Callithrix jacchus: one gene and its partners. The protein of the gene in region 1 purifies or fractionates together with the protein of each later gene. This does not show direct contact. Links are inferred from orthologs where the notes say so. Each region holds a gene or a part of one and is shown on either strand. Other genes may lie near its edges. The genes, in order: UTP4, WDR43, WDR75 and UTP15.

Region 1 (3,571 bases):
ACTGCGGGCCAGCCCCACCACACCTAGCTAATCTTTTTTTTTTTTTTTTCCTTAAGTCCCACTTCATGATTTTGTGTTTTAAGAGATAGGATTTTCCTATGTTGCCCAGGTTGGTCTTGAACTCCTGTACTCAAGCATTCCTTCCACCCTGGCCCTTCCAAAGTGCTGTAGTTATAGGTGTGAGCAACCGTGCCCAACCAATAGGCATTTATTTATTTATTTTTGAGGCTGAGTCTTGCATTGTTGCCCAGGCTGGAGAGCAGTTTTCATAGAGACAGGGTTTCTCCATGAGCTACTGTACTTGGCTGGCGAATAGGCATTTTTAAAGAAAATGAGGCCGAGCATGGTGGCTCATGCCTGTAATCCCAGCACTTGGGGAGGCCAAGACTGGCAGATCACCTGAGGTCAGGAGTTCGATACCAGCTTGCCCAACATGACGAAACCCTATCTCTACTAAAAATATAAAAAATTAGCCAGGGGTGGTGGCGAGCTTCTGCAATCCCAGCTACTCGGGAGGCTGAGGGAAGAGAATCACTTGAATCCAGGAGGAGAATCGCTTGAGCCTGGGAGGTGGAGGTTGCAGTGAGCTGAGATCATACCACTGCGCTCCAGCCTGGATGATAAGAGTGAAACTCTGTCTCCAAAAGAAAAAGAGAAAAGAAATTAAAGTTCATTGGTTGGGGAAATGCCTGAAATTTTGGGGGAACTTTCATAGAACCCTTTTGAGTTCCAAGGAGCACTACTTAAACTCCTGACCTAGACAACTCAGTCTTTGCTGAGGAAAAGTGTCACTTAGAGTTGTGTGTGTTATTTGTTCCCAGCTTCACTGCACGGTGCCTGCTTACAATTTTCCGGTGACTGCTATGGCCGTTGCCCCCAATACCAACAACCTTGTCATCGCTTATTCTGACCAGCAGGTAAGGGAGATTCCAATGCTTTCTAATCCCTTCCTTCTGGATAGTAACCTGGAAGCTGGGATATTGGGCAGTTGAGGGGAGCTTTTCTTTGAAGGTGCTGGAGGAGAAAGGTAGTTTTCTCCTGTGTGAAGTAAAGCTTCCTTGCCTGTCTGGGTTCATCATAGGCCAGCATTATCCATTGGTTTGATGGGATGCAGTTTAAATGGAGAAGTACTAAGATTCAAGAGTGAAGAATCGTAAGAGAGGGGAGGAATTTTGAAGAACTCATTTTCCTGATTATGCTAGAGCAGAGATGACATGGGCTTGGGTGTTAAACTCGATATGGAATGGTATAAAATTTTGAGAGTTGAAAGTGACTAAAAGATTGTATTATTCACCTTTACCCTTGCAGATGAGGAAATCAAGCCCTAGTAAGATAAGTACCTAATCTCAGCCAAAGTTAGAACCAAATCTGCCTTTTTCCTTACCAATTTGTAAGGAGATTGTAATTATAAAGAGATTTTTTTCCTCTGGGGTTTTTTTTCTTTGTTTGTTTGTTTTTGGTATTTTTGGTAGAGATGGGGTTATGCCATGTTGGGCCAGCCTGGTCTCAAACTCCTGACCTCAGGTGATCCACCCGCTCGGCCTCCCAAAGTGCTGGGATTATAGGCATGAGCCACTGCTCCCAGCCTATAAAGATATCTTTAAAAAAAAAAACAAAAACCTTGACTGTAGAACACATTAGGAAGTTATCAATTATTCTATGTCTTTATCTGTAAAATTGGAGATTATATCTACCTCACTGAGATTAAATGTAATTTTGGAAGCACATTTAAGTAGACTGCTAGGCAAACGATGCTTACTGTTTTGATGGTCAGTTTTTACACTAACACATACACACTGTCCAAAAAGTGAAATCTTTGTTTTATAGACTTGAGTCTTGATCAAAGACTGAAAGAGTAGTGAAGCCACATCTTTGCCTTTGTCACACATAATGATAATGTTTACTCCAATACCTTTTACTGGCATTTGGTCCCTTAAGTGCTTCTAAAAGTAAAACTGATGGGAAATTTTTTATATCCATTAGATTAGCAAAGATCAAAGAGTTGATAATACTCAGTGTTGTGAGGGTATAGGAAAATAGTACTCTCACACGTTGTGTAAATTATCCTAACCCTTTTGGAGGACATTTTGGCAATACCTTAAAAATTTTAAAGTCCACTAATCTTTGACTTAGAAATTTCATTTCCAAGAGTTTTATATATATATATATATATATATATATATTTTTTTTTTTTTTCAGCTATGCAAAAAAGACTTCTATACAGAGACCAGTTCATTGCAGCTTTGTTTATAGTAGACAAAGATATGAAACAAGATAATGTCCATTAAGTAGAGTGGATAAGTAAATCATGATGCATAAAATGAGTGGACTACTGTATGTTTCGGAATGGGCATGACTGATGTGTATGTGTATATTGATGTGGGTCAGTCTCCATGATATAATACTAAGCAAGAAGAAGCAAGATACAGAACACTACATATTATATGCATAAAATAGCTCTGAAAAGATGTAAACATGAAATTGAGGGTTGCTCTTGTCTTAGAAAAGAGGAATGTCAAGATTGCAGGATGACTTTTATTGTTCTATAATTTCCCTTCTAAAATTTTTCATTAAAAAAAGTGGTGGGAGAGCATAGACTGAATAAACTGAATACAGTTGAAGGTTTGTATAGATACTTTCTGGTTAGGAAGGAGAATTCCCTTCTGGTCTTCCTGGGTACCAGCCTGCATTCCTCTGTGTCATGTCCTTTCTCAGGTATTTGAGTACAGCATCCCAGACAAACACTATACAGACTGGAGCCGGACTGTCCAGAAGCACGGCTTTCACCACCTTTGGCTCCAAAGGGATACTCCTATCACACATATCAGTTTTCATCCAAAGAGACCGATGCACATTCTTCTCCATGATGCCTACATGTTCTGCATCATTGACAAGTCATTGGTGAGTTCTTCACTGCTACCTCACCAAATCTTCTTCTGAAACTTCACGTTCTAAAAGCAACAAGTACAATAAAATAGAGGAAGGACAATCAGAATAAAGGTAGCTAGTAAATCAGAATAAAGGTAGCTAGTACATTCCTTGGAGAAGAGGGGGTTTTGTTTTACAGACTCCCTGATTTGTGTTCCCACAGTTCTTCAGGAGGATCTCAGGGAAGGGGCTGGCCTTTGTGTACTGGCTTTTGCTGATTTGACTATTTCTCTGCTTTGCCAATGAGCATGTACATCTTACATACAAAAGTGATTAGGTCAATATTCAGAAGGTAACCTTCATCAGGAAGTTTCATTGATTTGGCTGATTCTCTTTGGACTTTGAACCCTGGGGTATCTGAATAACATGGTTTCTAAAGGAGGTAACAGGCTGAGGTTTTGACCTCTATGCCCCTTGGCTGAAGATGCTGAAATACTGTCTGCAGGCTTGAAGAACTGGTCTTAACATCTCCAAAAAACCCAGCTAGGAAAAATCTTCATGGCTGTGACATAGATGGGATAGGAGCATTTTCTTCAGTTTTAGATTCCAGCCTCTCTTTGCCAGCTGCTGTTTTGATTCACCCTGAATTTATATGTCTTTTCTGGGCATGTGCTTTGTTTCCTAGGAGCATTGTGGCCATGTC
Region 2 (3,223 bases), on another chromosome or scaffold:
ACAGTTGCTAATATTTCATTATCAGTACTTTATGGGTTAAAATTCATGCTAATTCTTCTATTTCATTTATAAGCCAGCTTTTCTCTGTTGAATTTTTCCTCATCACTGGGGCTATTTGGTAGCCCTGATACAGTGTAGTATTTTAAGATGAGATTTTTGTAAGGGTTTTGCTAATTAATTTGTCCCAGTAAGATCTTGAAGGAATAATATAATGATATGCTTTTATACATATAAGAATAAAGTAGCCAGGTGTGGTGGCTCACGCCTATAATCCTAGCACTTCCTTGGGGTGGAGGTGAGCCGATCCTTTGAGTCCAGGAGTTCGAGATCAGCCTGGGCAACATGGCAAAACCCCCTCTTCTACCAAAAATTATCTGGGTGTGGCGGCTACTCAGGATGCTGAGGCAGGAACCTGAGGCTTGAACCTGGGAGGCAGAGGTTACAGTGAGCCAAGATCTCTCCACTGCACTCCAGCCTGCAACAACAACAACAACAAAAGTTATGGCTTAATTGGATGATTGCTAAATATAAATAATATTTCTGGCCAGGCACAGGGGCTCCTGCCTGTAATCCCAGCACTTTGGGAGGCTGAGGCAGCCGGATCATGAAGTCAAGAGATTGAGACCATCCTGACCAACATGGTGAAACACCGTCTCTCCTAAAAATACTAAAAAATTAGCTGGGCATGGTGGTGCATGCCTGTATTCCCAGCTACTCAGGAAGCTGAGGCAGGAGAATTTCTTGAAACCAGAAAATGTAGGTTGCATTGAGCCGGATTGCGCCACTGCACTCCAGCCTAGCGATAGAGGGAGACTGTCTAAAATAATAATAATAATGCTTTTTTCTTTCTAAAGTACATTCAGGAATCTGGTTCTTTTTAATTTCCAGGCTATACCCTCTGTTTTGTGTTAAAATTAGGCTGGGTTTTTTTCTCCCCTTACAGAATCTTCTGAAGAGGAGTCTGACGATGAAATAGCAGATAAGGATTCTGATGTGAGTGATTCATTCCCTGGTATATACATTGGCCTTTGTATACTCATACTTTGTAAGAATGAGGCCTTCACGAATGCTTTCCCTGTTGGTATTTCTACTAGGATAATTGGGATGAAGATGAGGAGGAGAGTGAAAGTGAAAAAGATGAGGATGATGCTGAAGATGAAGATGAGGATGCCGAAGGAAAAGATGAAGAAAATGGTGAGGACAGAGATAGAGCAAGTGAAAAAGAACTAAATGGAGATTCTGACTTAGATCCTGAAAATGAAAGTGAAGAAGAATGAAGACAGCAAAGCAAGCCAGTCAAACTATAAAACTCTGGCTCACCTTGCCCAGTGGTGAGGGTTGCCTCTGTGCCAGGATGCCAAGGACCGCTGCGCATTTCCAAATTCACAGCAGTGGATTCTACGCCACCTTACTGTCCTGAGCACCCCAGACTTAACTGTGTAAATAAAGTGTTTCATTCAGATGTTAATAAACTTTACACAGTATATAGACACATTTTCTGCAATGTACTGACATCAGTGTCCAATATATGGTATATTTTTATAATATAATATCCTAGTAAGATTGGTTATATCAGGAATTGACTTACGTGCAGATAAAGACCTTTCCCATAGGAGTTGAAGAACTGGACAGTTGTGAAGGAGTCAGCTCTTATCTCAGGTTGGTGTCTTTCATCAAATCCAGATGCAAAGCAGCACTAGTGAAAATTTTTTTAATTTAGTACATTTAATTTGGTACATTTTCATAAAATACAAAGGGATAACTAAAAACCGGAGTAAAAATGATTGTATTTAAAAAAAAGTCATCAATATCTCTAGCTTCTCTATTAACTGTGATAATCTGATTTGAGTCAGATTGAATATTTGAAGTGCTTCCCCAAAATAACCACTTATTTTTTAAGCTGTCATGTGAAGTATTTTTTTAAGACAGAAATTATGATAACTGAAAAACTAGAGAAGTAGCCATATTACGGAGTTTTCTTGTCTGCAGATTGCTTGTAAAGAATCATCAGTGTATAGATTAGAAGAGCTCATTACCTGCAACTTTTTAAAAAATTCAGTTATAGCTGCTTTTGAAGAGGTTTTCATTTTTATTTAAATTACTAATGGATCAAAGAGCAATTGTTTATTTTTTCTCTTTGGTTTTAGATATTAATGATAACCTTGCTGGAATTTTTTTCCAAAGAAAATATTTTTATAATTAAATAATTTAATGTTTTTCTTCCTTTTCATTACCTACTCTTGGCAGTGTTAGGGTATCTGTTTACCTTTAAAATGATAATATCACTTAAGATTTTTTATGTATGTACAAATAAGTATTTTGGTGTGCTACAAAAGCCTTTGCAAATTATCAGTAGTTTTTTTTTTTTTTTTGTTAAAGAATGAGCGGATACCGGCTTAGTGCTCACTAGGGGACATGCAGATGGAGGCTCACCTCTAAGAAAGGGCTGGGCAGATGGATCTATTTTTTCCCACCTGTGAATATGTAAAACAAAACCATTATCTTTGAGGGACTCTTTAATATTAGTGGCAGAACAGAAATTTGTGTGCTCAACTTAAGAGCCAGAGCCATATAAACATCTTGGGAAAGCAAGTTTGAACCAGCTACTGGTGTAATGTACAGTTTTGTCTATAAATGGAGCTGTTTATGGCAATTTAATACCATTTTCTTTGTAAAGTGAATAAATATTCATCTTTACCCAGTGCTTGTCTTGTGGTATATGTAGAGGAATACAGCCACATGTTTGGGCTTGTGGTGTGAAGGTTTTTAAAAAGCAGTTTCACTCCCCTGGCATTAAATAGGTAAGTGCTTTCAAAGCTTGTGGATAACCTAGAATTTGCAATGAGGTGACAGAACGAAGACATTTGTGTTAGTCTAGTGTCAGCTGTAGCTGGTTGATGCTCATGCATTCCCACTTGGCTGGGTTGTGACTTCACAACCCAGGGCTGCAGTGACAGTAAAGGAAGAGGCACGTGCTGATCAGTGAAATCCTGTATTGGTAACCAACACCTGGCTTACGAGTCCGGTTCCCTTATACCTGACTCGACTTAAAGAAGTAAATAATGACACCTATGTGGTAATTTCTAATTATTTTGTTGGTTTAGAAAAATCCAGAGTGAAATTAGACTTGTTGCAAAAAGAATCTTGTATTTTTAGAGTATTTCATTGTCTTTTTCCACTCCTAAGCCATGCAACAAAGTTTGTGTGTTTTCTTTTTTGAGAT
Region 3 (3,571 bases), on another chromosome or scaffold:
TTCAAGCCTGACTGACATTTATGTAGCAGCAATCCAGATTTTCATATGCTGGGTGCCCATTACATGCCAAGTTCTGAAGACTAATAATAGATCTCCTTATGAGACGAATTTAGATTACAACACAAGATCTTTACTTTAGATCAGTAGTTTTCCACCCTGTCTTGCATATTAGACACAACTGGAAAATTTTTTCAGTAAACAACTAGGCCCCAGCATATAGAATCTTATTACTTCAGTTCTTTGCATGATTCCTATGTGTAGCTGGTGTTTAGAATCATGGATAAAAGTTTTGCTAGAGCTACTGGCAACTACTTTCCAACTGAGGAATCATGGAGTGAGTATAGGAGGCTGTTACCAAACATGAGCGATGAGCAGAATCACTTGGGATGATATTAAAAACGCAGATTCCTAAGGTATACCCCAAACCTAGTGATCAACTGCCAGTCAGGAAGAGTAGGAATCTGAATGTTTCATAAATATGTGAACCGATACCAAGAATCTACATATTCAATAAACAAAACTGAAATTAAACATTAAAAAGACTGCTATGTTTGAAGCAGTCATCTGGCAAGATGACTTAATTATTTTTAAGAATGTTGCCACATATAGAACACTTTTTGAAATGTGCTTTGGAGGTGGTTTACTGATCCTCCCACCTCAGCCTCTGAGTAGCTAGGACTATAGCCACCATGTCTAACTTATTTTTCTTTTTAGAGACAGGGTTGTGGTATATGTTGCCTAGGCTGGTCTCAAACTCTTGACCTCAAGCATTCCTCCTACCTTGGGCTCCCAAAGCACTGGGATTACAGGTGTGAGCCATCATGCCCGGCCCCACTAACCATCTTAAAGCTGCTTATATTCTTCATTCTGAACAGAACTATATTTCATGGAGGATACCACAGAGTATGGTGGCATTCTTGAATTTGGGGATCAGAAAATTTCTTTAGATGTGTCCTCATGTCACTGTTCTGTTTTATTAAATTCTATGATAAAGGACAATTATGTCATCACTGATAATATTCCAGGAATTCCTACAATGCTGATGCATGGCAGTTTCAATGGACCAATGTTTCAAAGACAGTGAAAATGTAATTAATAACTTAGTCACACTATTATTCTTAATACCAACCAATTTTCTTTGCCATTTCCTACCCTTACTCAAGAGAGTAAGAAGTGTTCAATGATGGATACAATGATAGTGATGCTTAAGAATAACAGATTTAAGTTCAGTAGGAAAACAAATTCTATTCACCTTTGCAAAGCAGGTTTAAAATTTGAACTTTGCAGTCTAGTATTACAACCACATAGAAAATAATCCTTCCTTCACTGCATATTTCAGAACTCATACAAAGCCTCTCCAAATAAACACAATAATGACAAAGCAATTTAAGTGCCCACTCTAAAAACTGTTAGCTTTAGATTAAAATCAAATGTTATATTTTGAGGAACTGTAAAATGTAAAGAGCCACTCAATGCCATATATAGTAAGTAATTATACTATACCTGGTTTTTCTTTATTTACTGTAACAAAGACAGAATCCTCAGTTTGGGCAACGGTAAACAGGGAATGAAGTTTACATCCAACTATGAAAGTCTGAAAGATAAAGAGCACCATAGTGTTTACTGTCTGGTCCCTCCAGTAGAACCTAAGATCCATTAGGGCAGGGATTTTCATATTTTGCTCATTGCTGTATTCCCAACATAAGGAGAGTACCGGGCCTACAGAAGACAACTGCTTCGTATTTGTTAAATACCCTCTCAAGTTTCCTACATACAGATCTGATTCTTTTTAATGGCTGTATAGTATTGTACTGAATAAATGTATCATAATTTTAACTGACATCAAGGTCATATTTAACTTTTTTCCTGCCATAAACAGTGTTGTAAGGACTACATGTACAGGCCATTATTTTAACAAGGGATTCTTAGAGGTTAGGCTGCTGGAACAAAATGTGTTTACTAATTTTAGTTTTAGCTCTCATTGTGTACAAAGTACCGGTTTCTCTATTCTTTACCTATCACTAGATTTTTTTCAATCTACAATTTGGCTGAACTTATGGGGAAATACTATATCATTTTTTAAAATTTCTGTTTCTTTGTTAATGAGTTTAAACATCTCTTCATATTTACTGGCTACTTGTATTTCTTTTTCTTTGAATTTACATATTCCTACTTTATGCAAATTTCTCCTACAAGGCTATTAGTTTTTCCTTATTGGTTTTTGGGAATATTTTTGTATATTTGGAATAATATTTTCTGTAGATATTTTCTCCCAGCTTTAACTTGTCTTTTTGTAAGTGGAAAATGTTTATGTAGTCAATTTTTTTTTGATGTCATTCTGTAATTTGTTTAGGAAATCGATTTAAATATTTGAAACAGTACATCTACCATTATATTACATTGCCTTTTATTTTCACATAAGGAAAAATAAAGATCAATCCACATACCTTTATTAAGATGCCATCTATATAGTCCCACAGTTTAATTGTGCCATCAAGGGAACAAGAATATAGCTAAAAGGGTAAAACAGTACAAAACTGATTTAAAAAAAGGAAATTCATCAAGATATCAAACAAATAATTAAAAGCTGATCAGGGGCATTTTCTATGCATTATTTCACTGTCAACCTTAAAGAGGTAGAGTCATTTATATTGCTTCTGTGAAACAATCTTTTCACAGTTCTCTGCAAGAAGCAGACCCATCCATTTCAAGTTTCCACTAAAAGAGAGAGGAAAAAAGTCAACCTTCTATCTTGAAGAGTGAGATGGTAAGGTTGTGAATGAGATATGTAAAGCACCTAGGTACAGTGGGTCCCACCTATAATCTCAGCACTTTGGGACGCTCAGGTAGGTGTATCACTTGAGGCCAGGAGTTCGAGACCAGACTGGCCAATATGGTGAAACTCCATTTCTAGTGAAAACACAAAAATCAGCCAGGTGTGGTGGCATATCCTGTAATCCCAGCTACTTGGGAAGCTGTGAGTGCAGTGAGCTGAGATCACATCGCTGTACTCCAGCCTGGGCAGCAGTGTAAGACTCAAACGAAAAAAAAGTATTTAACAGCTTATTGCTCTTTTTGCCGGAACTCAGTTTTATTAGCCAAACTCCTTTCAACTTATCAGTATTAAGATTGCTTCTCAAGTGATTAAGAAGATTCTGTGTAAAAAAAATTTTTTCCAATCCATCAAGGACCAATACTTTCATAAAATACAATAGAAATTACAATGTGCTAGGATGCTGTGGCAATGTCAAAGTGTTTTGTGACACTCACTTACTGTACTGTCATACAGAATGGTAACTAACAGTTTAAGATGCTGGACTGTGGACCATACTTTGGTAGCACCAGAAGACCTTAGTAACACATAGCTTAATTTTTGTCCTAGTGCACTTAGTTTTATTAAGTTTCCACTAGATTTTTTGTTTTTGTCGTTACAGGAAAGTACTCTGCTTATAATGTTTACAAAGAATTTTAATATTTTTAAAGAAAGTGGCAATTTTAGGGTTTCTGCAAATAGAGACAGAGAAATTTTAAAATGTTGGAGTAAAACCACATTATCTATCCTGAAACAAAG
Region 4 (3,571 bases), on another chromosome or scaffold:
AAATTTTTCTAGCCTACTTGTGCAATAAAGACACCCGAGATTACAGTGTCCATCATAAAGGAGTTAAATCGAAGAGGAGTCCTCGCAAATGCCCTTGCAGGTCGAGATGAAAAGGAAGTCAGTCGTGTTCTTAATTTTTTGATAAGGTATGTTTTATGTCTGTGAAACACTTTTATTTTGCATCTGAAATCCTTTATCACCAAATGAAAGACATATTTAGTTTGATCCTTGTAGAGAACTGAAGAAACAAATCTGTTTTAAGGATTTTTTGTTTAAGTTTACAAGTTTTACTAAATTGAATTTTTACTTTGTAGGAATCTTTCTCAGCCAAGATTTGCCCCTGTTTTAATCAATGCTGCTGAAATAATTATTGGTAAGTAGTTGTTAAAACTTGAAAATCCTAACATGCTTGCAAAAGTAGAGATGTCAAAGAATCAGATTTGGAAATCAGGTAGATCAAAATATCTTGCTTTTATTAATTCTCAATATGGATTTTCATGGAGAAAACAACAAGTCAAAGCAGTTTAAAATGTAAGATGTTTACAGTGGCATGACTTGGAATTGATGGGACTGGGGTTATTACAAAAAAAAATTTTGTTTTCATAGACATCTGTAATCACCATGACAATTTTTCAAATGGGAAAATGAAAATAAGTCAGAACTTCCACCCTATATTTTCTGTAATTATTGTTTTTTGAAATAAATTTACTCAGAGGGATCATTATACTTTCTATAAATCATTAATTATAACATAAGTACAGATTTTTCAGTGTTTTTATGGTATTTTTATACTTTTAAGAACTTTGTTTTTCACTTAATGAATAGAAAGATATTGCTAGTTAATGTGTTTTCTTTCTCTCTTTTTAGATATATATCTGCCTGTGATTGGTCAGTCCCCTGTAGTTGATAAAAAGTTTTTGCTACTTCAAGGACTTGTAGAAAAAGAGATTGATTACCAAAGAGAATTGTTAGAAACCTTGGGGATGATGGATATGCTTTTTGCCACCATGAGAGGGAAGGAAGGCACTTCTGTGTTGGAACATACATCTGATGGATTTCCAGAGAATAAGAAGATAGAATCATAGTGTCTGCTAAATAAGGCATTTAAGAACTCTGAAGTTGGAATAGATTTGCCTCTATTAAATGTTGGAAAGAGACTCTCTTTGATACTTATAAAAACTATTTACAGAAGCAGTTCTGTAGAAGAGACTGGAACAATTGTGGTCGGAAAACAAGTACCTGTTTTAAGTAAGACATGGTTTTCCATGTGCTGTTTTGAATTATTTTATAGCATCTTCACCTAGAAGATCTCAATTGTCTTGGACACAGAGTAGGTTTATGTGGGTTGAGTTGATAATAATTTTAGTACAGGAGTATTCTGTATCAACATTTGGATTGGTATTCAGATGGGAATTCAAATATGAATCCTCTCTGGAGAGGATCCAACTGGGAATCCTGCTAAAGGAACACAGCCTTGTATTACTTCTGGAAAACAACAACAAAAACAGACGGCAACAACAAAAAGCCTCTTTCTTGACGCTAATCAGTGCCTTTGGGATTTCTAGGCCCTTGTGTAGCTTGCTTCCTCTCTCCTTGATGTCGACACTTGTCTTAGATCACATGCCCTGCTTCAGCCGGTAATGGGAGTGCAGCTGTTCCAAGTGTGGCAAGTTAAGTGGTCAGCTCTGAAGGACTGATACTAGCCAGATTTGTATTCAGTGTGAGAGCAAGGTCTAGAGATAGACCTGATTGGTCTATCTACCTCTTGGTTTTTCTTTCTTCTCTTCATGCAGCCTTTCTAACAAGTTTTCACCTTGTTTCAGGTCAGAGGAATGATAGAATTTGTCATTTTTCTTATAATAAAGAGCCTTTCAAACTAGTTTTCATATGTTTTGAGCTTATCTTATAGCTACCTAATCCTCTGAAAAGTATTTTCTCTGATTTGTATTTAGATTTTCCCCCCATTCTTCACAATCATATTGTGTTGTAGAACCCCAATCCAGAGCAGTTTGCTTTGAAATATAGTTGTTTTTGAAAGTTTAAATATTATTTTTTAGAATTTTTGTTTTTGAAAGAGTCTCGCTCTATTGCCGGAATGCAGTAGAGAAGTGCTGTGGCGCAGTCTCGGCTCACGGCAACCTCTGCCTCCCAGGTTCAAGCGGTTCTCCTGCCTCAGCCTTCTGAGTAGCTGGGATTACAGGTGTGTGCCACCATGCCTGGCTAGTTTTTGTACTTTTAGTAGAGACAGGGTTTCACCATACTGGCCAAGCTGGTCTCGAACTCCTGACCTCAAGTGATCCACCTGCCTAGTCCTCCCAAAGTGCAGGGATTACAGGCATGAACCACGGTGCCCAGCCTGTAAATATTATTATTATTTTATAAAGACATTCTTATTTTCTTGGCTTTTTGATGTATCCATTCTGGATGGATAATTGTTGGCTAGTAACTTCTAGTACACTGATTTCATAGTTGCTACCTCTCCTAACTTTCTCTAATTCTTGTCCCAACTCAAGTAGTTAAAAATCAGTAAGAAAAATGTCTTGAGCTAGAAGAACCTGTAGAGGAAGATTTTGTAATGTGAATCTGCTTTCATAATTTTAGTTTGGTAAATTCAGGGTTTTTTTAAGCAGAAAAAATACTTAATATGTTCTAGTAAGGTTATTAAGTAAAAATTAAACATTAATATTTAGGCTAACATTAACATTTAAATTAATATACTAAGTGAATATACTTAGTATGTTCTACTACGGGTATACTCAGAAATAGGGCCAGTTTCCCTTTCATGAACCGATTTCAGCAATCATACAGCACAGTGGCCTGTAAGGAACCAGCAGTGTGTTTCTCTGCATAATTATGAATTTAGTCAAGATCAGAAGCTGTGTTTTGGGGTTAATAAGGGTTAATTTATTTAAATAAAGTTTCTATTTAAAAACCTTTTTAAAACATTAACGCCATAAATATTCTGATAATTTGCATAGTAGTAAAAATTAGGAGTTGAAATTCTACCTAAAGCTGTATTTGCCATCAATTTTGTAACATGGCAGAGGCTTTCTCACACGTCATTTCATTTGATTCTCACCATCCGAGATTGATATTATTTTCATTTAACATTGAGTTAACTAAAGTAGTCGATTCACTCTCCAAGTCCCTGAGTGTGAGCTCTTCATCCTAGCACTGTGAAATAGTTTGCCTGCTGCGGCCTAAACTACTCATTCCCTTGAACAAAACTTCAGAGTGCTGCAGTTCTCAAAATATGTCACAGATACACATTTTCAAAAAGGTTAGGAAGCAGTACCCATAGCCATCAATACTTAAATTCAGGAGTACTTTTTGTTGTGTTTTGTTTTGTTTTTAGAGACAAGGTCTCATTCTGTTGCCCAGGCTGGAGTGTAGTGGTGCGATCATAGCTCACTGCAGCTTAGGCCTCCTAGGCTGAAGCTATCCTCCCACCTCAGCCTCCTGAGAAGCTGAGACTACAGGCATGAGCTACCATGCCTGGCTAATTTTTTATTTTGATTTTTTGAGAGAAGAGGTCTCACTACGTTGCCCAGGCCTCAGGCAATCTCCTGAC

What was found.
Region 2: the proteins of UTP4 (region 1) and WDR43 purify together in Homo sapiens (co-immunoprecipitation; 5 studies listed by BioGRID and IntAct, counting the BioPlex papers as one, with this or other methods). This does not show direct contact. The link is inferred for Callithrix jacchus from reciprocal best matches to the Homo sapiens genes UTP4 and WDR43.
Region 3: the proteins of UTP4 (region 1) and WDR75 purify together in Homo sapiens (co-immunoprecipitation; 3 studies listed by BioGRID and IntAct, counting the BioPlex papers as one, with this or other methods). This does not show direct contact. The link is inferred for Callithrix jacchus from reciprocal best matches to the Homo sapiens genes UTP4 and WDR75.
Region 4: the proteins of UTP4 (region 1) and UTP15 purify together in Homo sapiens (co-immunoprecipitation; 4 studies listed by BioGRID and IntAct, counting the BioPlex papers as one, with this or other methods). This does not show direct contact. The link is inferred for Callithrix jacchus from reciprocal best matches to the Homo sapiens genes UTP4 and UTP15.

The regions. Positions count from the first base shown.
Region 1 is NC_133521.1:26,716,121-26,719,691, forward strand, and holds part of UTP4 (U3 small nucleolar RNA-associated protein 4 homolog), read left to right. Parts: intron 1-821; coding exon 822-917; intron 918-2,715; coding exon 2,716-2,901; intron 2,902-3,571. UniProt on the Homo sapiens protein: Ribosome biogenesis factor. Involved in nucleolar processing of pre-18S ribosomal RNA. Part of the small subunit (SSU) processome, first precursor of the small eukaryotic ribosomal subunit.
Region 2 is NC_133515.1:86,108,005-86,111,227, reverse strand, and holds the end of WDR43 (WD repeat-containing protein 43), read left to right. Parts: intron 1-943; coding exon 944-993; intron 994-1,094; coding exon 1,095-1,277; 3' UTR 1,278-2,697; downstream 2,698-3,223. UniProt on the Homo sapiens protein: Ribosome biogenesis factor that coordinates hyperactive transcription and ribogenesis. Part of the small subunit (SSU) processome, first precursor of the small eukaryotic ribosomal subunit.
Region 3 is NC_133507.1:39,369,479-39,373,049, forward strand, and holds part of WDR75 (WD repeat-containing protein 75), read right to left. Parts: intron 2,514-3,571; coding exon 2,448-2,513; intron 1,595-2,447; coding exon 1,504-1,594; intron 1-1,503. UniProt on the Homo sapiens protein: Ribosome biogenesis factor. Part of the small subunit (SSU) processome, first precursor of the small eukaryotic ribosomal subunit.
Region 4 is NC_133503.1:137,496,377-137,499,947, reverse strand, and holds part of UTP15 (U3 small nucleolar RNA-associated protein 15 homolog), read left to right. Parts: intron 1-12; coding exon 13-146; intron 147-314; coding exon 315-373; intron 374-867; coding exon 868-1,085; 3' UTR 1,086-3,571. UniProt on the Homo sapiens protein: Ribosome biogenesis factor. Involved in nucleolar processing of pre-18S ribosomal RNA. Required for optimal pre-ribosomal RNA transcription by RNA polymerase I.